Lytechinus pictus: one gene and its partners. The protein of the gene in region 3 binds, or shares a complex with, the protein of the main gene of each other region. Links are inferred from orthologs where the notes say so. Each region holds a gene or a part of one and is shown on either strand. Other genes may lie near its edges. The genes, in order: glucose-induced degradation protein 8 homolog, glucose-induced degradation protein 4 homolog and armadillo repeat-containing protein 8-like.

What was found.
Region 1: the proteins of armadillo repeat-containing protein 8-like (region 3) and glucose-induced degradation protein 8 homolog are in contact, whole or in part, in a cryo-EM structure (PDB 7NSC), measured with the Homo sapiens proteins. The link is inferred for Lytechinus pictus from reciprocal best matches to the Homo sapiens genes ARMC8 and GID8. Residues at the interface, in NP_001350870.1 of Homo sapiens: Asn45, Val47, Ile48, Gly49, Asn50, Val85, Ser89, Met92, Arg127, Arg130, Arg161, Tyr162, Tyr166, Leu200, Ser201, Tyr202; in NP_060366.1 of Homo sapiens: Ile83, Ala84, Asn87, His90, Pro91, Glu92, Leu94, Asp95, Thr96, Tyr101, Tyr183, Glu184, Asn185.
Region 2: the proteins of armadillo repeat-containing protein 8-like (region 3) and glucose-induced degradation protein 4 homolog are in contact, whole or in part, in a cryo-EM structure (PDB 7NSC), measured with the Homo sapiens proteins. The link is inferred for Lytechinus pictus from reciprocal best matches to the Homo sapiens genes ARMC8 and GID4. Residues at the interface, in NP_001350870.1 of Homo sapiens: Glu309, Pro310, Asp311, Val312, Asn371, Glu373, Arg406, His409, Arg413, Ser414, Val415, Gln416, Arg419, Thr420, Gln423, Asp424, Val444, Ser448, Cys451, Asn452, Leu455, Phe457, Ala483, Val486, Asn487, Trp490, Met493, Asn494, Phe497, Gln498; in NP_076957.3 of Homo sapiens: Leu104, Ile105, Pro106, Pro107, Pro108, Pro109, Ile110, Gln114, Pro115, Gly116, Val117, Ala118, Thr119, Gly125, Gln146, His147, Tyr154, Cys156, Tyr158, Phe174, Glu176, Phe239, Val241, Pro242, His244, His292, Ser293, Ala294, Pro295, Ile296.

Annotation. Positions count from the first base shown.
Region 1 is NC_087246.1:44,406,088-44,414,063, reverse strand, and holds the start of glucose-induced degradation protein 8 homolog, read left to right. Parts: upstream 1-4,874; 5' UTR 4,875-5,033; coding exon 5,034-5,036; intron 5,037-7,976. UniProt on the Homo sapiens protein: Core component of the CTLH E3 ubiquitin-protein ligase complex that selectively accepts ubiquitin from UBE2H and mediates ubiquitination and subsequent proteasomal degradation of the transcription factor HBP1.
Region 2 is NC_087254.1:30,551,214-30,558,728, forward strand, and holds the start of glucose-induced degradation protein 4 homolog, read right to left. Parts: upstream 3,089-7,515; 5' UTR 2,932-3,088; coding exon 2,779-2,931; intron 1,436-2,778; coding exon 1,268-1,435; intron 397-1,267; coding exon 295-396; intron 1-294. Other genes in the region: RNA demethylase ALKBH5-like, read left to right, coding at 6,530-7,028.
Region 3 is NC_087245.1:23,728,836-23,736,414, forward strand, and holds the start of armadillo repeat-containing protein 8-like, read left to right. Parts: upstream 1-4,483; 5' UTR 4,484-4,622; coding exon 4,623-4,625; intron 4,626-7,579. UniProt on the Homo sapiens protein: Component of the CTLH E3 ubiquitin-protein ligase complex that selectively accepts ubiquitin from UBE2H and mediates ubiquitination and subsequent proteasomal degradation of the transcription factor HBP1.

The DNA of each region.
Region 1 (7,976 bases), on a different chromosome or scaffold from region 3:
ATTTTTAGATTATGATAAAGCTGAAGATCTAAGCTTTAATATGATATAATTTTTATAAGAAGAGGTATCTTAGATGGGTCAGCAGCCATGCAGCTTTTCATAGGCCAAGTACATTTAGCAGTTTAAAAACCAGAATACTGCGCTCTTATTGGTCATAGAGACCACACACCCACGCAAATTCCAATGTTCCCGCACTGGGCCTCAGCAAGGTCACACTCACCATATGGTAATCTCTTCAAATTACCCGCGCCTGTTGTTTTGAAAACATTATTCAACCCGAATCAGAACTCTGCGTGGATTTTATGCTACTCAGAAATTTCAGAAATCTCGTCTAGTTGCATTTTGTTGGAAAAAGCTGATGGCTGCTGACACATCTAAAATTAAGGTGCCACCTATCAAGAGTCACATAGTAAGAAAGTAAAGAGTTTTTATAGAGATATAAATAATGTTTGTGCCTAAAACACAAAATTTTGCACAATTTGCAAGAGAAAAGAGAGGAAAACAAATCCGTTTGAGGCATCTATTCATGCCTAAAACTCACTTATTTATCAAAATATTTTATTCAAAAGAAATGATCAGTATAAAAGAGTAACGTTTACTCTTTCATATGGTACAAAAATAATCAATTTTACTCAAAGAAAAAGTGGTTAAACTCTTTGAGGAACAAAGTCTCACAATTCACGAGATTTTGCAGGGACATGAATTCAACCACGAGAGGACTTGGATAAATCTTGCTCATTTGCTCATTAACAGAGGGGCTTGCAGACTGACTGTAGTCCTATATATATATATATATATATATATATATATATATATATATATATATATATATATATATATATATATATATATATATATATATATATATATATATATATATATATATATATATATATATATACATATATATATATATATATATATACATATATATATATATATATATATATACAGTGCGTCCCACAAAAAACGAAACCGAGATTTAGCGATGATTTATCATAACTTAATCATAAATACAATAGACAAATGGCCTACCAATGTAAAGCTTAGAATCTCCTCTTTTACCTGAAATTACTTAGATTATTCCTCATTCACACATGCATGGGTGTCGATCGGTATTCTTGGTTGGGGGGGATGATTGACACAAAAGTTCTTGTGGATGGAGATCTTTCAACATTACCCCACTAAAATCACAAGTTAGGACATTTGGGAGTGATTGATATGCATGGTGTTCTTGTAAATTCCTTCATTGTTATAGTGTACTTATATTTATTTTTTGAAAATTCAATTTGTGTTACAAGTAAGCCTATTCTAAACTCATACGAAAGAAAAAATGACAAATTGTCTGGACCATGTTCATAGTTTATTGAGCATGATGTATACACAGGGGCGTCGATCCATTTTTCAGATGGGGGGGGGGGGCAAAATCATGAATCAACATTCAACATGCGACGCGAAGCGCGAGCTGAAATTTTTTAGTATGACATGAAAACAGGAAAAATGTACCTGTTTAGGTTTGTTTGTAGTAACTCATGAGGAGCATAGATACATGTATCTCACTAGAGAGCGAGCTCAAATTTCTTTATTTCTGACGTGAAAGCTTGATATTCTAAGCATTTTTGGTACCAATTATTAAGATGGGTATCTAGAAGAACAATAGATGCGAGCGCAAAGCGCCAGCTGAAAATGTTGATATTTCGATCTGGAAAAAAGACAGTTTAATGGACGCTTTTAATAAAGAACAAGATATATATCCAACAAAAGATTATTGCAAATCGAAGCGGGTGTTCTTTTGAGGTATAGAACTGAAAAAGGGACATTCTATTCACCTATTTAATCATGAAAAGTATGGGGTTTTGGTACAGAAATGATGCGAGCGCGAAGCGCGAGCTGAAATTTTTTATATTCCAATCTGAAAAGCAGACATTTTGAGCACGATTTTAAATCAAAATCGAGTTGGTATCTCAATCTCGCTTGCTGGTTTCAGTGTAGCATTACAATCTTATTTTATTTTTAGTTGCACATGCGGAATTATTGGGAGGGGGGGCAAAACGATATGTTCCCCCAAATATTTTCATTGGCGGGGCGATCGCCCCCCCCTGCCCCCCCCCCCGATCGACGCCTTTGTGTATACAACTTCTCTCTTAAATCTAACCCGACTGGCAATATCTTTTTTCTTAATGCATGATGATAACATGCAGATTCGGACCAATTAAGACTAGCACAAATTACAAACTGTGTGGCTTCTCGTGCGCCATCGGGCTTACCGTCATTCCATAGAGCTATTACTGTAATATCTATATGGTCATTCCTTAGACGATTTATCTTGCCACCCTTTTACTCCCGTTTATTGTTCCACCCTTTTGAATTAATTAATGTATTAAAATTAATTTATTCACCATTGGTGGGATGGAACACCAAAAGTCTTTTTTCGTTGGGGTCCTTTTATGTTATGTGTTAAAAAATTTCATATACATAAACATTTCATTCTTTTTCATCTTGAACCTCCACCCATCTGTTTAATAGTCCTGAAAAAGAATGTTTTTATTTAATAACAATATACACAAATTGTGAGAGAAACAAACTGATTGATGGCATACTATAATCATCACTATAATCATCATGATCAAACTTTTCATTTTTTCATCATCATTATTATAATTTTTCTACCCTAAATTATTGGGGGGGATGATAATACAGGCCACCCCCCCCCACTTGAAATATTGGGGGGGATATATCCCCCACCCCCCCCCGTGATCGACACCCATGCACACATGAGTGAGCAAAAACAACTTGAAGAAAGGATACCAAAAACTCATTTGGCGGGGGTATCTGAATTTCAAAAAGAAAATCACATGCCTAAAAGTTCAATATCTGCTCTTTTATTTAAAGGACAAGTCCACCCCAATAAAAAGTTGATTTGAATAAAAAGAGAAAAATCCAACAAGCATAACACTGAAAATTTAATCAAAATCGGATGTAAAATAAGGAAGTTATGACATTTGAAAGTTTCGCTGAATTTCACAAAACAGTTATATGAGGAGACTATGACGTCATCCACTCACTATTTCTTTTGTATTTCATTATGTCAAATATGAAATATTCTAATTTTCTCCTCATTGGCAAGTGATACAACGATTAATTCTTTGAACATGTGGCATATTAGCATTGTTTAATACTAAATGTTTCAGTCAAGTTGGTCCTTATTGTCAAATCTCAAAAAAATGAAATATTGTATAATTCAAACAATAAAAAAACAAAAGAAATAGTGAGTGATGGACATCATCGACTGACTCACCTAGTTGTGCATATCACTGTTTTGTGAAAAATAAGCGAAACTTTGTAATGTCATAACTTTCTTATCTTACATCCGATTTTGATGAAATTTTCAGCACTATGCTAGTTGGATTTTTCTCTATTTTTTTAAGTCAGCATTTTCCTGGGGTGGACTTGACCTGTATTTCCATAATTTTATTTAAATAAACATGTTTTCACCGGTTTCCTACAGAAGCTATCTCACGGTTAACAAAAGGCTGATCGTCAACAAGAGTCTGGACGCTATAGCCTGTAAGTCAAATTATGAAATTGTTGAAATTCAAATATCCAGAACTTTGTTATTTCTTGACCATTTTCTGTAATTGAGGTATTAAATTAAAGAGCAGATATTGAACTTTTTAAAGATGTGATTTACTTTTTGAAACCTAGAAACAGCCCGCCAAGTTACTTTTTGGTATCCTCTCTTCAATTTGTTTTTGCTCACTCATGCGTGAATGAGAAATAATCCAAGTAATTTCAGATGAAAGAGGAGATTCTAAGCTTTACAATGGTAGACCATTTGTCTAATTTATTTGTGATTAAGTTATGATAAATCATCGATAAATCTCGCTTTCGTTTTTTCTGGGATGCACTGTATACTATAAACATGTATATCGGATGTATATATAAATGTGTGAGGTTTATATGTACAACAACTTTGGCAACTCTTTTATTTAAATATTGTGTAAAAGAAATGGATGAGGAGAGCAATGGTAGACGTAGCTTATCTCAAGGTTCCCCAGAGCTATCTGGGACCCGGGTTCGATTCCCGGCAGAGACATTTTTTCGTCATCACCAATTTTTCCAAAGGCCAGCTCTGGGGAACCTTGATTTAAGCTACGTCTACCATTGTTCTCCTCATCCATTTCTTTCACACTATATATATATATATATATATATATCGGGCAGATTTTTTTTTTAATGTTCGAGCGAGCAAAGCGAGCAAGCAAAAAATTGACATTTTTATTACAGAAATCAAATTTTATGACAGATTTTTACAATATGAACAGTAATCTCATAAAATTCATGAAACCTCAAAGCGCGAGCAGAAATTTTTCCTATTTTTTCCATTTCTTACCCCCTTATTTTACTCCATTTTCTTCCTCCTTTTCACTTTCGCCTTCCCCCCCCCCTCCTCATTTCTTCTTTTTTCTTTTTCTTCCCATCTTTGAGCCGCACCGCCGGCCGCGCACAGGCATCCATGCATGGGGCCATTGGCGGCGGAAGCCAAACAATTTAGAGGGGGACCACCCAAATTTTTTGACAAGCAAAAAAAAAGGTTATCAACCAAAATTTTAGGGGGGACCACGCAGGAAACAAAATTGACAAGCAAAAAAAAAAAAAAAAAAAAAAAGGTTATCAAATATTAATTTAGGGGGGGGGAGCGTCCCCCACCTCAAATTTAGGGGGGACAGGTCCCCCCGTCCCCCCCCCCGCTTCCGCCGCCTATGCATGGGGCGCGGGCCGGGGGCCGGGGGGGGGGGGGTGCGTTATTCAGATAAAAATTGTGCAGTTCGCCAGCGCAGCGCAGCTGCAGCTGGTACATGGTACTTGGTGCCGGTGATCGATAATCATCAGCTGAAAGAGAACGTCAATCAAAGACGTTTCGCACAAAGGCAAGCATCAAAATAAACTGCCGAGATTTCTAAATTACATATTTTAATAAAGCAGAGGTAGAAAATATTCGGAAGCCAAATATATACTTCAACTGCGAAATCATGGTATGTATAGAACACATTATTTGACTGATTTTCACAGTATACCTGCGATTCTCACTCACTAATCTCAGAATTAAGCCAAGGCTATGTCTGTTCAGTCCCATACGGATGAAATTTTGATGTATGAACTATGATAGTGGTCCCCAAGCCTGGGAAACCTAACGATTTGAGTTAAGATTTAACATGAATTTCTTTTTATTTCACAAAACATTTCAGTAGATAATGTTCCTTACATCAATTAGAGTTAGTGTGCCAAATATCTTATAAAAATTTGAAAGAAATATATGATTTACTTGGAAAAAACCTCAGCTCAGGCCACCATTTTCACTTTACTTTAGTTTCAGATTGAACAAAAAAAGGTGCCCCATGTCTGCGCACCTAGCCTGGAGGCGTCTGGGGAGTGAAAGTACCGTAAGGGCACTAGTATTCAACCCGTTTGGAGAGTTTCCTCAAATTTATAGAAATATAGAATTTACCTGAATTTCAGACCCGTCTTATTTCCAAGAGCAAATGCTGGTTATTCTTTTTCCGTTATTTTTTTCTTCAACAAGTTGACTGTGTGCGCGGGCGATCGAATTATACGGCGACGGATTTTGGTACTAGTATTCAACCCGTCGGCACTAGTATTCAACCTAGCGATGAAAGATGGCCCTGTCTCTCAATCTGCTCTTGTCCCATCCGACTATGGACTAGACCATTTGAGATGAGACCAAACAGGGAATTAATCAAAGCCAGAGACTTACATAGATCTAGATCTAATTTAGCAATCTAAACCCTTTTGAGATTTGCTATCAATCCTCACTAGGTTGAATACTAGTACCATTCAGTGCAAAAGGCCATCGCCGCATAATTCGATCCTCCGCGCATACAGTCGACAGATTGACAAAGAAAATATCGACAACAGATTACCCTGGAAATAACAAAGGTATGAAATTAAGATAAATTCCCTATTTCTAAATATTTTGGGGAATATGTCAAAATCTTTGAATTATGCCGGGTTGAATACTAGTACCCATACGGTAATATACTCTACGACTACGTATGGTCACTCCCCGAACGCCTGGCGTTTGTACATATAGGCTCCTACACACCGAAGAAAAATGCAACTATAAAAATGCGCCAAACTGCTAGTTATGTTTAGAATCTGAAGTTAAAACTTTTGTAAATGGGTAAAAATATTGGTTGGCAACGTTTGGCAAAAAATGGATAGTTATGGTTACAAAATGACATAAAGTAATAAAAGTAGAAGAGAGTTTACTTACACTTGTTGACATCGCCATCTTTGATCCTTTGTTAATGCAACCTAGTTACGTGACGCGTATAGAGGGCGGCAAAATCATGAGCGGTGCTAGATTAAAAAGTGCTAAAATGTCCCGCTTCAACCACTGAACTAGAAATACATAGAGAAAACATATCTTTCAATTGCCTTTTACGGCGCGTTCTCGAACAATTGACCTAGCAAAATGGCGGCGGTCACGTGACTTATCGAGTTCGCCGGCGATGTTTTGCTTGGGTGAACATGACTTCCACGTATTTCTAGTTCAGTGGTTGAAGCGGGACATTTTAGCACTTTTTAATCTAGCACCGCTCATGATTTTGCCGCCCTCTATACGCGTCACGTAACTAGGTTGCATTAACAAAGGATCAAAGATGGCGATGTCAACAAGTGTAAGTAAACTCTCTTCTACTTTTATTACTTCATGTCATTTTGGCGTCATTTTGTAACCATAACTATCCATTTTTTGCCAAACGTTGCCAACCAATATTTTTACCCATTTACAGAAGTTTTAACTTCAGATTCTAAACATAACTAGCAGTTTGGCGCATTTTTATAGTTGCATTTTTCTTCGGTGTGTGGGAGCCTATATGTACAAACGCCAGGCGTTCGGGAAGTGACCATACGTAGAGTATATTACTTTCACTCCCCAGACGCCTCCAGGCTATGCGCACCCATTCACTTTGCACGCGATTCAGGGATTTTTATGAAAAAGGCTGCATTTTGAGGCCTTCACAAGAAGTAATTGGCATGCCATAGTCCAACCTGTAGATTCCCCACAGGCAGGGTGGTTGCAGTGAACAAGTGGGATGAGTGTGTATTGCATGCCATGTGTAAAGTTTGTGTTCATTGCGTATCTTCTTCACGGAGAAACGCGTGTGCACAGACAAGGGAGACTGCGCAGACTTGTCTTAGGGGAACTTTTACTTGCCATATGTCTACGGTAACGTTCTTAAGTTAGAATCTAGACCACAAAATTCAGAAAGCTCTTAATTTGTCATAAAATAAATCTTCAAAGTTCAAGTCCTAAAACAAAAGTAACAGAAGAAAAAGTACTTAAAAGTTACAGGTTTTCCCTAGATCTATTTAAACTTCTGAAAAGATCTATATAAACTTCTGAGAAAGTAGCAAAACAAATAAGATTGTATTCACAAAAATTAGAACTTCTAATTGAAGTTCTATCATGCCTCACTGTACACTCATTACTGTAGCATAGGCTAGTGGCCCAAAATAGGCTTTAATTATCCTGGATCTGGCTGGTTGATGTACAAATGCCTGGTGTGGCTATCTCGTACAATTATGGCAACAGTGCATAAAGTCGGATGTGTACTTGATTTATTTGGATCTTTTAACTCTTTGCCCGCCACGGACGACTCGTGGCACATACAGCGGACTGCCAACGACGACTCAAGTCACAGTTCGCACACAATGCATACGGAACGCATTTAATTGTAATTGTGTGCACACACATACAGTAGCGACGCGTGTATTGCATTGTTTACGAATCTAGCTTTCGTGTTATAGCTTTCGCCGACTTTGTTTACATAGAGATTTTTCGCGTAAAATTGAGTTTTTTGAACTGCTTTAGGATATATTTCGATGAGCTTTCAATAGCTTGCACTGCTTTCCTTGTAATAAAAGAATGATACAAATTGCCACCTCCCTAT
Region 2 (7,515 bases), on a different chromosome or scaffold from region 3:
CCCGAGCATGCAAAGATGATATAACTACTAGCTCAGCCACCCCTGTAGTCGGGGACTAAACCGGATTTAAAAACAATACAGATATAGAAAAGATATGGAAATTATATATTTTGCTTTATTCCTTTGGCAAATATTGATGAGCTTCAGTGTGTCATTATTCACTGAAATATCAATAAATTTGAATTATTCCTGATAGATAGGCCTATAATTTATACGATACATATTATTTACTAACAGCCTGCCTAAATCACAACATAATAAAACGAAGAAGTTAAACTAAATCTAAGTACATACTTTCCACCTCATGAAGACATAATCTGTGTTTTTCAGGGCATCATAGTTGAAGTTGTCTTGATTGAAAGTCTTGGTGTATTGGTAAAATGATAAAAACTGACCCTGCAATTACAATATAAAAAACAGCAGATTGCAAAGAGAATAACTGTATACAGATCAACAATTAGCAAGGCTAGCTGTCATCAATACAAATTATTATGACATCTTTAAACAGGTACATAAAACCCCCAGAAAGTTACAGAAATGGAACATAGACCAATTCCATAACCTACATGTACTAAGAAATAGAAATCATATTCCATTTACTGTATACTACAAATCATATAAAAAGAAGGATCAATATTTGATAAAAGGTCAATGATAAAAATGCTAATTACCCCCCCCCCCTCCATTTTCATTTCATAAAGAAGAATAACACTCTTCTTGCCACATTATCTGTCTGAAAGATAAAATTTTCATTACTGACATTCAGTTTCCATAGGATGGCCTCTTTCACACTGGCCTTGGATATATATATTTTTTTGTGTCCTCATTATATTATTCACCCATTTGCATTGTAATACCAACAAATGCCCTTTTAAAAATGGGACTTGCCATAATATATGGAAATAGAAGAGTTTATTCTTACTAGGATATTTTAGTACATGTTCCATAGTTTAAAAAAAAAACATAAAGTACATTTCTACTCAGCACTAAGGCAAATGACTGTCTAGGCAAACAGAGTGTTTGAATAGGAAGCAGAGCAAGACCTTCTTTGGGCTCAAACTTTCAAGATATGAGGTGATATCTATCAATTCGTAGATTATTTTGAACCATGTCCTGCTTTTTGTATTTTTCATCTTATAGGGTACTTATAGGAGTTTTCCATCTAGGAATTTACCAAAGTGCTTGGAACTATGGAAGATAATACAGATCAGATAACCACATTTTTGTTCCTGGATTATTTAAGTGTGAAACTACATGTCTCATTTACCCAATGTTTCTTGTCAACTTCTTCATCTGCATCCCATTTTCTTGTAAGAAATGGATATTTCTCCCCTATGATCTCCCCTTCAAAGAAAGTTACTAGAACAGGAAACTCATCAGTCAGGCCTTTGATCTTCAAGTACCCACACAGGTAGCTGTTCTCTTCATCAACATGCTGTATCAGTGAGGAAATTGTCAAAGAATGAAGCTTGTTTAGAAAAGAAAATTGTTTTTCATTATATGAACTCAAACCAAATTAAGTTTCATGGCATTGATTTATTTACATAGCCTTTTTTCTCCACTCAGGAGGCCATTGCATTTTACATCCATGTGAATAGGTGGTATCAATCATGTTTCCTGGATTCAATTCAGCACATGGGTTAAATCACTTGCTGCACCACTTAAGCTACACATCTGAACATTAAAAAAAACCCTGATACATATGAAAAAAGAATTGGTGTGCAGGCATGGGGCACCGTTGGTTTTATTTTGGTTTTGATTTTTTGGGGGATGGTTTTTTTTTTTTTTAATTTACGGGTAATTTTTTTCATAAGAAATTCATATATTTTGCTCAAATTCAGATGGAAACTTTGTGGAATTACAAAGAAATTCATGTATAATAATAATCTAAAGATCCATTTTAGGAATGCAGATTAAGGATCTACAAACACAACATAAGAGTCGGCAATGTCACTCACTGACTCACTATTTATTTGTATTTTTACTATTCTTTATGAAACATAGAATATTTCAATAGTTGCAAATATGACATTCAACTTAAAGGCAATTTGAAATTTTCAGGGAAAATCAAACCATGTTTCACATTATGAGGGATTAATTTGATAATTCATGTAACAAACCTTTTTTAATAGTCAAATAAATAAATTAAATACAAAATAAATATAAGTGGGTGACACCACCAAAACCCTTGTTTACATACTGACCAGCATTTTGGCTTTTTGCATAAATTGTTCTTTGAAATAATGCTAACTTTTTAATAAAACTTTGTAACTTTCTTCTTTTAGTTTTATCAGAATTTGATGATTTTTAGCACGAGGAATAACAAGAGTCTAGCCTCTAACATTACTTTCTTAGAAAAAAAATAATTGTTATTTCTATAGTTAACGTTAGATCTCTAGACTAGAGTCTAACATTTGACTATGCCTGGGCCCTGGCTCAATTAGACCTAGGCCCTATTTCAATATTCATTTCATTCAATTTCCAATCAAGTTTTCTGGGGTGGACTTGTCCTTTGAAAATTATTTAAATAATAAAACTATGTTTGTCACTTTGTGTAATTGATCTCAATCTCAGTGCCAGTATGATAGGGCCTTTAATTCAGATATCATGATATTTTGAAAATGTGCACAAATTAAGGTTTCCCCATCACATGCACACAATTCACAGGCACCGGCATTATGCTAGCCACCGTATCCTTCTTTCACGCTACGCCGGGGTCTCTGGGGCAGGGACAAGTCCTCTTCCCGGTATTTCCCCAAGCTCAGCAGATCTACTCACTTGCAACTCGACTTCCACGTCGTAACGATTGCCTTTGCTCTTCTGATGCCCTTGAAACCTTGAACCACTATAAAGCAAAGATCGAGCAACTCCTGGCTGGCAACAGTTTTGGGGCGGTGGAGGATAAACGTCGACAACACCAGGCATTTTCATTGAATTTAGGAACGTTAAATTAAAGTGAACGACGGCTCACATACGATCCAGTCGCATATGGGACTCGTGTACAATCGTCCTAAAATATCTCGCGCCGCGCCCGCACGCGCACGCCGTGTTATCGACCCATCCAGTTAACGTTATTGAGACGTCAACGTTTTATGGAAATCGGAGGGGGGGGGTGGGCGGGGGCACTCTACTATAAACGATGATATGACATTTGCTCTTGCGACAATAATTGCTCTGGGCTTATTTTCGTCCAAGTTGTACTAGGTTGGCCCGTAGTAGGGTTATGTTTAGGAGAAAAGAGGGAGAAAGGAAGAGAAACGTACTTGGGAAAGAAGAAAATATTATTCATTATAATGTTATATTTGGTATATTATAATTATGTTATGTTACATTACATAAGAAACGTTTTCATCATAACTTTATGAAACATAATTTGCTCAGGGCCTATGTCTTCATTGTTCCTGGTGCTCGCATTTTCTGTTTAACGAGATATATAATCATGTAAAACCTCCCGTTTTCACTAAGTCAATATAAACCAAATATATTTCCTAGCACTTCCAGTTATCATTGTTTATGTAGTGACATATGCTTCTTTTTCATGACTCAAAAAGTGGTTTCCCCATGTTAAGGTCTTCATATATTTTCCTGTCCGTGATTACGTTCGCATTGTGGATTGGTGAGATGAGATATGTCTGCTCTCCATGAATTCCTAAAATCAGTCCTTAAAGTGTCCCTTCTAATCAGCAAACTGATATATATATTTGCGCCATCTATTATAATCTATATCCGATGCGCATTGTTATTACCCCAGCGCTGTGTGCATTTTAAGGAATTAATCCTGCTGGGTATACCATCAGGGCCCTGGGAACGATTTTGAGTTGGGATGCTGAATGACATTTTAAATTGAAAAAATAAATACAAGCCAAAAAAAGGGTTTCCCCTCCAAATTGAAGGCCGTTTGGTCCCAGGAAATTCGATAAGCAAAAAAGGGTCGCAAAACTTTGGTTCAACGCAAAATTTTGGTAATTTTCCATACATTTCTCAAATTTTATACACACGTTTGCAAGGGGGTGCTGTCTATGAAAAATAATAACGCAGCACCCCCGGGGAAAATCTTGGGGGTGCTTCAGCACCCCCTGCAGCGCCCTCATCAGGGCCTTCCTGCACCCACCTCCCCTGGGTTGATCGAGTGCATGCAGCACAATATTGCTGAAATTAGAAAAGATACTTATCGCACAGAAAACGGCAATTCGCTAGTTATCGTGCTCATACTAATGTTTTGTTTCACAGTAATATTGAAGATAGAGGATATCTATCTTTTGCAGCTATAGATTCAGTCATATATGATTTTGAAAATGGTACTCTTCCAAATGAATTGGCTCAACTATCCATTAAAAACGGTCAAATTCATAATCATAACACAAGGACAAGCAGCTGCTCTTCATATACCAAGGGTAAGAATTGCAGTCAGCTCTGAATACATTATCCGTTACACTCATTCTGTCATTGTGTGTCGGTCTTTAAACATAATTATAAGCTGAAATTCCATTTGCTGAAAGGTTATGCTGAAATTCTTTAAAATACGGTGTAAATAGATTATTTATTATAGTCCTTTGATTTTTGTTGTACACCTCTTTTTTCCTCTCCTCTTTTGGCGTTTATCTTATCAACTTCTTACACCTCCCCTATATAACTCTCTCTCTCTCTCGATCTCTCTTTGTCGTCTCAACGACTTTTCTCCCTATTAGGGTGCGTTTATCCGCCACTTTTTTACCCTATAATCATGATTCCAATCATGATTCAAATCACGATTCTGCAGAATCACGATTGCGTTTAGTCGAAATTGAATATAATCATGATTAGAATCACAAACATGAACTACGAAAAAAAGGGCGTTTGGAAAGACGTTTCTGCAGAATCACGTACGAAAATGTTCGGATAAACGATATCGTGATTTGAATCATGATTATATGACGTCATTGTGTCGAGCTATTTCCGGTTCTTGCCAAGGCGCGCGCCCCACGTTGTCACATCACATGTACGTCGCCGACCTCCAATTAAGTGTCCAACGTTGACCTATACTTCCTGGGTCAAACTGCGCACTGTGATGCGCACTGGATCGGTCCGAATCCGAGGAGAAACAGCGTTGGAACGAAGGTCGTCTAAACCCTGATTCTGTAGTAATTGTGATTCATGTTTGTGATTTGAATCATGATTCCAATCATGATTCAAATCACGATTCTGGCTTGAGGTCGGATAAACGCAGCCTTATATAAACCCTTTCTCCTGATTTCATAACCCCTCTCTTATCTTTCCTTATGTCTTTTTCATTCTGTATATAAATTCATATATATACTCATTCCTTCTTTTGATAATTTCTCTCTGTATTTCCTTCTTTTCTTTTCTTTCCATATGTAGATTTAGATGTGTAGTCTTATTCAAAGTAAATATTTCCATTGTACTATTCACTTACTGCTTAACCACTTGTTTTAGGTATTCATTGTTTGTTCCTATATTATTATCTGTGATTTGTTTTTCTCCTTTTCGATTGTTTATACTTTATTTGTTCTTTGTTAATTCCAGTATTACCTTTGTATGTTTGTCTTGATGTATATTACATGTATGTTATTTGATGATATGGACCTCTGCATATGCAGCTGTGTCTGGATTAAAGTCTTGAATTGAATTGAATATATTAAATATCTATAGTATTGGAGACCTTGTCTTGACAAGCCTACGGTAGAAAGGCTTTGTAACTTTTGTCTCCAGAATCCTACTCTGTAATGTAAATTATATGAGTTATGTAACAACCTCAATGTATGTTTAGCGCTGACAATCTATTTCTTTTAACTTGCTTTTTATTTTATTATCGTGTTTTTTTTAACTACCATAATTATGTATGAATGTTTTTGTGAAAGGAAGAAATAGGAAAACACGACACGCAATGCTGGCCATCGAACCCACGTCCCACCGATTGAGAGACGAGAGTTGCAACCACTCGAACACGTCGTGGCCCCACACTCCCCCTATTATTCCCTAAGTAGGGTAATCGAATGGGATTTTATTTCTGCCCTGGCTCCCCCCCCCCCCCCCTCCCGGCCCCAAGCGAAGTTCAAGTCACTGAACGATGAATTCAAGTTTGGCTGGTTGGTTTTATTTTGGCCGAATTCGATTCCGACGTTGAAAATAGCGAATAGTTTTAACTATAAATATTACGGCTGAGGTTGCCTATCTTGAATAAGTATCAGTTGTAAATGCTTACATGAATATAATTTAGGCTCATTTTTTATTTAAGAAAATATTTAAATTATTCTTCAATATTAATGTACAAATATTAACATCAATGTCATTTTTCAAGTAAAATTTATTTTATTAAAGTGATTATATTTTTATTTCAACATGCATCATTAAATCAGTAATATCAAATTTCCTGAAATTATAGTCAGTTATTTCAGTACATCATCTCGTCGATCGATCGTACGTACGTACATAGCTATGCACGCAGAAATTACGGTACACGCGCGAGGGTACGGTATGTTGACATTTCTGACAAGGCATAACTCAGTTCGGAGTGAAAGATCTTACGAGAATGGCTTCAGGGTCGACAGATTTACGTTTCAAGCTCGACTCTCATCATCGTCGGAGTCACCACAAGCAGAATCGTCGACTGCCAAGCAGCGATGACTCCGATTTTACATTTACATCGCGGCGAAAGAGACGACGACGTGACCGCTACCATCAGTGGCAGTCGAAATCATTCGAAGATGAAATGGAGGAAGTGAAGAAGATTCACTCCGGTGTGTCTCAGATTCAACTTTTCACTGAAGAAGAATGCAGCGAGATCGAGGATAAAATCAACGAGGTCGTGGACATCGCCGCAAAGGGACTCTACCGAGATCATACAGTCGATCGAGCTCCCCTTCGCAACAAGTACTTTTTTGGAGAGGGCTACACTTACGGCTCGCAGCTGACCAAGAAGGGACCGGGACAGGAACGACTGTACCCGCGAGGTGAAGTGGATGACATACCGCAGTGGGTCGAGGAGCTTGTCATCAGCAGGGTTGTTGAAGCAGGATTGATTCCTCATGGTGCGCATGCTTAGATTTTGTTTGAAATTTGATAATGAACATGTTGACAGGTATCATGATCATGATGATAAAAAATGAATTTCTTTAAAGTTTAATAATGGCAAAAAATTAAATAAAAAAATAAATTAAAAGGCCGTAGGGCCTGCCCTAGTCGATACCGGTACTGCTGCACACAATAAATAAGTCAATTGTCAACTTTTTAAGCCAAGAATCTTAGACTTAGACCTCTAGTTTTTTTATACCAACTTTGCTGCATCTACAATTCTGCATAGTCTGTTGCTGGATGGAAATAGAATTAATTATAGACAAATCAGTCTGAACACTCCTGCAATATCTAAAATCAGGAAATAATGTTTTTTGGCTAATCAGAACTGCAATGCATCATGGGATCGAAAAGGGGGCCGTTAGCTAGCTCTGTGCACGCGGACTGTCCGTAGTGCACAGAGCTAGCTTGATTGCCCCCTTTTCGATCCCATAACGCATTGCG
Region 3 (7,579 bases):
AAATTTTGGGGGTGCTTCACCCCCAGCACCCCCGCTTCCCAGGGCCATGGGGCAGGGCGAAAAAGACTGTGAAATTTGATTTCTATTGTCTGACTTGTAATAGTTTATACAAAACATGGGCGGTCGGGCACGCGCACACTTGATTCGACATAAAACCTGGAAGTGTCATTGTGTCAAGTCCAACCACACCCTTATTATGTCCCTCCCTGCTATCGAGTAGTGCGTAAACTATGGTATATATAGCGTGCGACCACGTCTGTATCGGAATGCCGGAGCTTGATTGAGTCGCGTTATAGGATGGATGTTATTGGAATATGTGAAATGCTATTATGTAAATGATTTGCGATTGTGTCGGATGTGCTAATTATGTACATTATAACATATTTTAAAAAATACAGGGGGGAACCTGATTTCGTGGGGGTGCTGCCTATGGGAAATAATACACGCAGCACCCCCAGCACCCCCGCTTCCCAGGTCCCTGAGTAGAGTATGTACCTGTACTATTATAGAGTAGAGTAGAGTAGAGAAGAGTAGAGTTGAGTAGAGTAGAGTAGAGTATACTAGAGTAGCTAGAGTAGAGTAGAGAAGAGAAGAGTAGAGTCGGGAGTAGAGTAGAGTAGAGTAGAGTAGAGTAGAGTAGAGTAGAGTAGAGAAGAGAAGTGTAGAGTTGAGTAGAGTAGAAATAAGAGTAGAGTAGAGTTATGTAGAGTAGACTCGGGAGCCTCTCGGAGTAGAGTAGATCGAGTAGAGTAGAGTAGAGTAGAGTAGAGTAGAGAAGAGAAGAGTAGAGTCGAGTCGGGAGAAGAGTAGAGTACGTACGTAGTGTAGAGTAGAGTAGAGAAGAGTAGAGTTGAGTAGAGTTGAGTAGAGTATAGAGTGTAGTAGAGTAGAGTAGAGAAGAGTAGAGTTGAGTAGAGTGCGTATAGAGCCCGGGGGGGGGGGCACTTCCATTGACGAATGGATACCATGCGCGACCATGGGGTCTCGAAAAGCACCCTAAACACGTATTTTCCATATTCTGAAAATGCACCTCTTAACAAGTATTGGCGTCTCAAACCCTATACCCTTAAATTGGAAACAAAACGATACTCTTGGCAAGTGTTCCCTGAAATGAACCCCTAAACAAGTACAGCGATATTTTATTGTTATGTCACGGGTCCGTCGGTCGTCGGTTTTACCTTTACACAGTTTCGGCCTCACTGTCCACACCTCGCGCGAATCGGACTCTACACGTGTTGGGGCAAAAAGGACATCCTTTAATTATAAAACATTTTAATTTTGTTTTATCATTCCCGCAAATTTGACCCTAACTCCGTAGCTTCGCAAGCGAAATAGATACCCTTTTTTCATTATTTTTGTGTTTTGACACCCTTATCACGTTACGTACGTAACCAGTGGCGTAGACAGGTTCGTACACCTGGGGGGGATGACTGGGCTGCCAACGCTAGCGAGGGAGCGAAGCGACCGAGCGGGGGGAGGGTGTGGGAGGGGGGTGTCCCCCCTCCCACGGTAGGGAGCTTTTGCAATTTTGAACTTGAAATCGTGCAATCTGATGCATACTTAATGAGGTAAAATAACACACACAAGCGCGCACGCACACACACACATACTCACCCCCCCCCACACACACACACACACACACGGGTGCGCGCACCACACACATACTACGCCTTGAATGGACAGACATACATCGACAAGATCTACACACCGTGGCATACGAATACAGAATGGACTGACACAAAGTATTGCATATTGAACCACACTACGTATTTATTTATCTCTGTGAATTTTGCTGTTACACCTCTTCAGAAAAAAAAAACAATGTCAACTGTGTAAACGCAGGTATAGTCTTTGTTGATATGGGTATGTGGTTATGAATGAAAACAGCCTCTGTGGCCATTTGTGAATAGAACACATAAACAACAAACAAATAACAATATGTCTGTTCATTATAAAGCATAATGAATACGTACATACTATGCTTTTTTTACCTCAAAGAAACAGGCATAGTATCCATAGATGGATATTGGCTGGCGGCTCATTAACATACAGATACAAAAAACATAAACAGTATCACTATGATCCATGGAGTAACAATACTGCTCTGTAAGTTTGTGAAGAAATCGGAACCATAACGGCATTGCATCGTTTCAAATTAGGGCATTATTTACTTCTATTTGATCTCAGTCTTATAATAGTAATAATAATAATAATAATAATAATAATAATAATAATAATAATAATAATAATAATAATAATAATAATAATAATAATAATAATACAAATAAAAAATAATACTAATACAAATAATAATGCTAATACTAATAGGTTCCTTTTATCTCGCATTTCAAGACAGGGTAAATTCACACTGCGCTTTACATGAAACATACTTCTTTAAACATTTCAAACTTATGTCTTCATGCATCAATCAACATACTTTAGATGAATACAAAACAAAGTGCATCTTAAATAAAACAAAAATAAATAAATAGTTAACAATACAGAAAAGATGTAGCTGCTGCAAGCTTAACAACAAACTAATATATACCAGTCAGTCCTGATATCAGTATTAGTGTAACAATAGTCATATAGTGGGAGCATGAAGTTGAACAATTCATGATTATACATAATTATATATATTTGTTTGAATAATACTTGTTATAAAGATAGTAGTATGGTACTCTCTGTCACGAATTATTATGTATACTGTTGTATCACATTCATTTTCTATTCTGTTTTAGATTGCGCTGATGCATTTTGCACACAATGTATAATGCCTATAACACGAGTGGGCCAGACCACACATGTATTTCAATAAAAACCGACTTGAGAAAATAACGTGTATATAAATATATAAATAAATAAATAAATAAATGCATATAATGTATATATATATGTATAAATATCATATACCTGTAATATAATCTGATATAAACTAATAAATACATAAATAAATATAATACATATCATATATGAGAAGGTATTGCTAGTACTCGGTTCGTGCCTGAAAAGTCTCGATGAAAAGAAAAGAGTTGTTGCTTCATTCCCATACCAAAAACAGCTTGATTAACAGTTGCTAATCAGATAATAGAGACATGCGGTAAGTTGGTAAACTTACTTAAAGGAGAATGAAACCCTTGAAACCAACTGAATCCATATCAAAGAGAAAAATCAAAGAAACATATTGTTGAAAGTTTGAGGAAGATTGAATAAATAATAAGAAATTTATGAGCATTTGAATATTGAGATCACTAATGCCATCTAGATCCTCCAATTGGCAATGCGACCAAGATCTGTGATGTCACACACGTACAACTTCCTCATTACTTTAGTACTTATTTCACTTGTATTCTCACTTTTATAGAGTCTATCACAAGGTGAGGTGTTCTCTTTATGAGAGGAAAAGTATAGAGGTTTCACAACATTATATCATTGATGAATCGTTTGTCATATATGATTAGAATGAGCAAAAAGAGATGTTTTGGGGTATATTTTCAGTGTCCAAAAGGGGAGAGTTGTTCATCTGTGACATCATAGATCTTGGTCGCATTGCCAATGGAAGGATCTCCATAGCATAAGTGATCTCGACATTCAAATGCTCATAACTCTTCTATTGCTAGTCCTATTTTACTCAAACTTTTGTTGATCTTATTCTTTGATTTTTTTGCTTTCACAAAAGCTAACTTGCTCCAAAGGTTTCATTCTCCTTTAAGGAGCATTCATGGCTCAACAAACAAACATATCGGTCTCTTAGTCAGTTTTACTTTTGTAGTCTTGCAAATTTGTGTCTTAGAAACCAAATATCTTGCGCCTCTTTTCGTTCCTGCCCAGTAAATACTTGTAAGATTTTCTTTTTTTTACCGTCTGAATTGGCTTTCACCGTGTGAATGCGGCTAATAACAATAAACACAATTACAATAATGATGAGGATTATTATTATCATCATCATAATTATTATTATTATTAATATTATAATTGTTATCATTATTATTATTACTATTATTATCATCATTATGACTTATTAAGTAACCAAATATCATTCCCCAAAACCTGGGGGGGATGATTGTACATGCCATCCCCCCCACCTTGTGATGTGGGGGGGATGCATCCCCCTCATCCCCCCCGTTGTCTACGCCCCTGTACGTAACGTGCCCTATCTTGAAAAAGACATCCTTTTTACGTGTTTTTTTGGTCGCGCATGGTATCCACTCGTCAATGCATGTAAGTGGCCCCCCGGGCCGGGACGTAGAGTAAAGTAGAGTAGAGTAGAGTAGCTAGAGTAGAGTAGAGTAAAATAAAATAAATTAAAGCAAAATAGACTTGGAATATATCTGTATGTACCACCACAATCCAGTGAATGTTTTAGCAGGGAGCTTCAAGCTCCTTGATTTTAGGGTTTGATGAGGTGGGAGGTGGCCTACCATAATATTTTAAAACGGTACCGTACCGTATACCATACCGGTACGTACGTACGTACCGTACCAGTTTTCAGTCTGCTAGCTTCACGATCTTGCTGCAAACGTTAACAACTTACAGTTACACTTTCCGACACTCTGAATTATCATTTATCGTTTATTTTACAGTTGAGCTGGGCTTTTGAATTGAAAAGAAATATTGCAGCTATGGTGAGTAAGACATCAATGAAAAATAATGTAATCAAAGTGTCGATATATTTGATGCGAACAAAGATAGACTAATGACATATATTTCGGCGCTTGCTTTCGCTTTCGGACTTTTTTTGGGGGCATGACCCTCTGCCTGGTGCTGCCAGCCCCTTGAGCCGGGCCGAGCCGGCCAAGCGACCCCCGTGGCGCTTGCGGTTGAACCCGGGACAGGATTAGAAAGGGGCGCTAATGCAGTTTCGCACCGGCCGACTTTGAGCATGTTTCTCCCTAGACAGGAATAACCGTCGTTTCTGGGGATTTATTCAACAATTTCTGACATTTTACTGTAATCCCCATTTACCGACGGTAGGGTGTACGTGTGGGCTCGCATGTGTTCTCATTCCCTCCCTTTTGTCAATTCACAGTCCAAAGTTTGATGTAATTTTACACATCGAATTTACAATCTAAGGATGTATAAACAACAAACTTTTAAAACTGGATGTTTTAACATTTAAATACTTTAAACGATATAGATGAAAAAGGCATGAAAAATATACTTTACCGATGTTTAATTGGGTTGAACACGATAAAAATGGTCAAAATGGCAGCCAAACTATAAAATATTTACAAACGAACGTCAACAATCACGAATGTGATATCGATATTGCTTTCGATATTATACGATCTGCTCCATTTGCGAACGAAACCGAAGATAAACGATACTAGTTATACTAGTACTAGTACTAGTTATAATCGCGATATATCGATTCGATACATTAAGTTAATACGATAATGACGTCATTCAAGATGGCAACTTGCAAGAAAAACCGTCAGGTCAGGTGAAAATGTCTTAGATGACAGATTTCTCAATCATCCAGAGGATTTTTTTCAATAACTCTGGCCCAAGGTATGCAATTACTTAATTTATTTATTTTCCCTGATAATGGAAACCATGAAACTTTCAATTTTGTTTAAAAAACAGTTTTAAATCGCGATCTATAAAACGCTAGTTCACTATACGTTGGCTGTAGGTACGGGGCCCCATCCCCTTCAGTCTATGTATGGTGAGTGGAGCCAACGTAGTTCAGCGGAACAACCAAAATACAGAGACTGAAGCTTTTGGTCTAGTTTCTCCCTACCTCGAGCGAAGTTCGTGCAGGCTCCACTCCACTTCACTACCACTACACTACACTCCACCTACCCGAACTTCGAGACCATGAACTCGATCGGATATTCCGAGTGACAAAAGGTGGGATTTTATAAATTATGGGGAGAAAATACAAAATTCATGCAACATCACGATCTTTAAAAACAAGTACAACTAATATTCTTACTTTACACAAAGTTTCACATCTTTTCCTAGACCAAAAGCTTCAGTCTCTGTATTTTGGTTGTTCCGCTGAACTAAGTTGGCTCCACTCACCATACATAGACTGAAGGGGATGGGGCCCCGTACCTACAGCCAACGTATACATAGTGAACTAGCGTTTTATAGATCGCGATTTAAAACTGTTTTTTAAGCAAAATTGAAAGTTTCATGGTTTCCATTATCAGGGAAATATAAATAACTTAAGTAATTGCATACCTTGGGCCGGAGTTATTGAAAAAAATCCTCTGGATGATTGAGAAATCTGTCATCTAAGACATTTTCACCTGACCTGACGGTTTTTCTTGCAAGTTGCCACCTTGAATGACGTCATTATCGTATTAACTTAATGTCTCGAATCGATATATCGCGATTATAACTAGCAGTAGAGGCGCACGGCCAATATTGGAGACTGTCTCCAATGTGGGAGATTATCTCCAATATCAGGGACTTTTGTAAAGAATTTAGGTATCCAATTTCAGAGACAGTCTCCAGTTTTGGGGTCCAATTTCCTTTGTTTACATTTGCTGCAAAAGGATTAACTTGGCGGCAAATAAAAATGTGATAAGCAGATTCCTCATGAAAAATTACCCCTTTTCACCGTCTACTTTAAAAATTCACCGTCTACTTTTGTTTTGATAAGGATTTTTGTTGTCAATCACACACAAAACAAATGGGCTTCTGACCTCAGTGAGACAAAATTTTGGGTGGAAAAAATCATGCTTTTGTTGGTGTTGTTTCTTTTGTCCTTTTGCAAAGCAAGTCTCCAATGTGGGAGATTGTCTCCCCTATTGGAGAGAGTCTTCCATATTGGCCATGCGCCTCTACTGACTAGTACTAGTACTAGTATAACTAGTATCGTTTATCTTCGGTTTCGTTCGCATATGGAGCAGATCGTATAATATCGAAAGCAATATCGATATCACAATCGTGATTGTTGACGTTTCGTTTGTAAATATTTTATAGTTTGGCTGCCATTTTGACCATTTTTATCGTGTTCAACCCAATTAAACATCGGTAAAGTATAATTTTCATGCCTTTTTCATCTATATCGTTTAAAGTATTTAAATATTGGAATATCAAGTTTTAAAAGTTTGTTGTTTATACATCCTTAGATTGTAAATTCGATGTGTAAAATTACATCAAACTTTGGACTGTGAATTGACAAAAGGGAGGGAATGAGAACACATGCGAGCCCACACGTACACCCTACCGTCGGTAAATGGGGATTACAGTAAAATGTCAGAAATTGTTGAATAAATCCCCAGAAACGACGGTTATTCCTGTCTAATCTTTTCCATGCTTCTATCAGTCTCAAAATTGATGATTTAGAGCCAACATGAAGTTCCTCACACGTAATAATTCGCTGCCGATTTCAGAACATCGCATGCGCGCGAGGGTCCGAGCTCGGACCAGACCCGGTACCTCCCGCATTCGATGTTTCGAAGTCGGCAGCGCATTAATATTTATACGTGGTGATGGAGAGTAAATAAATAATGACATTTTCATGCGGGAGGTTTTGGAGCATGCGGGCGGTGGACGCAAATCTAAAACTTTCATTCTCTTGGCCTAATATAATAACAACACTGTGTGTGTTGCTGCCCTCTAC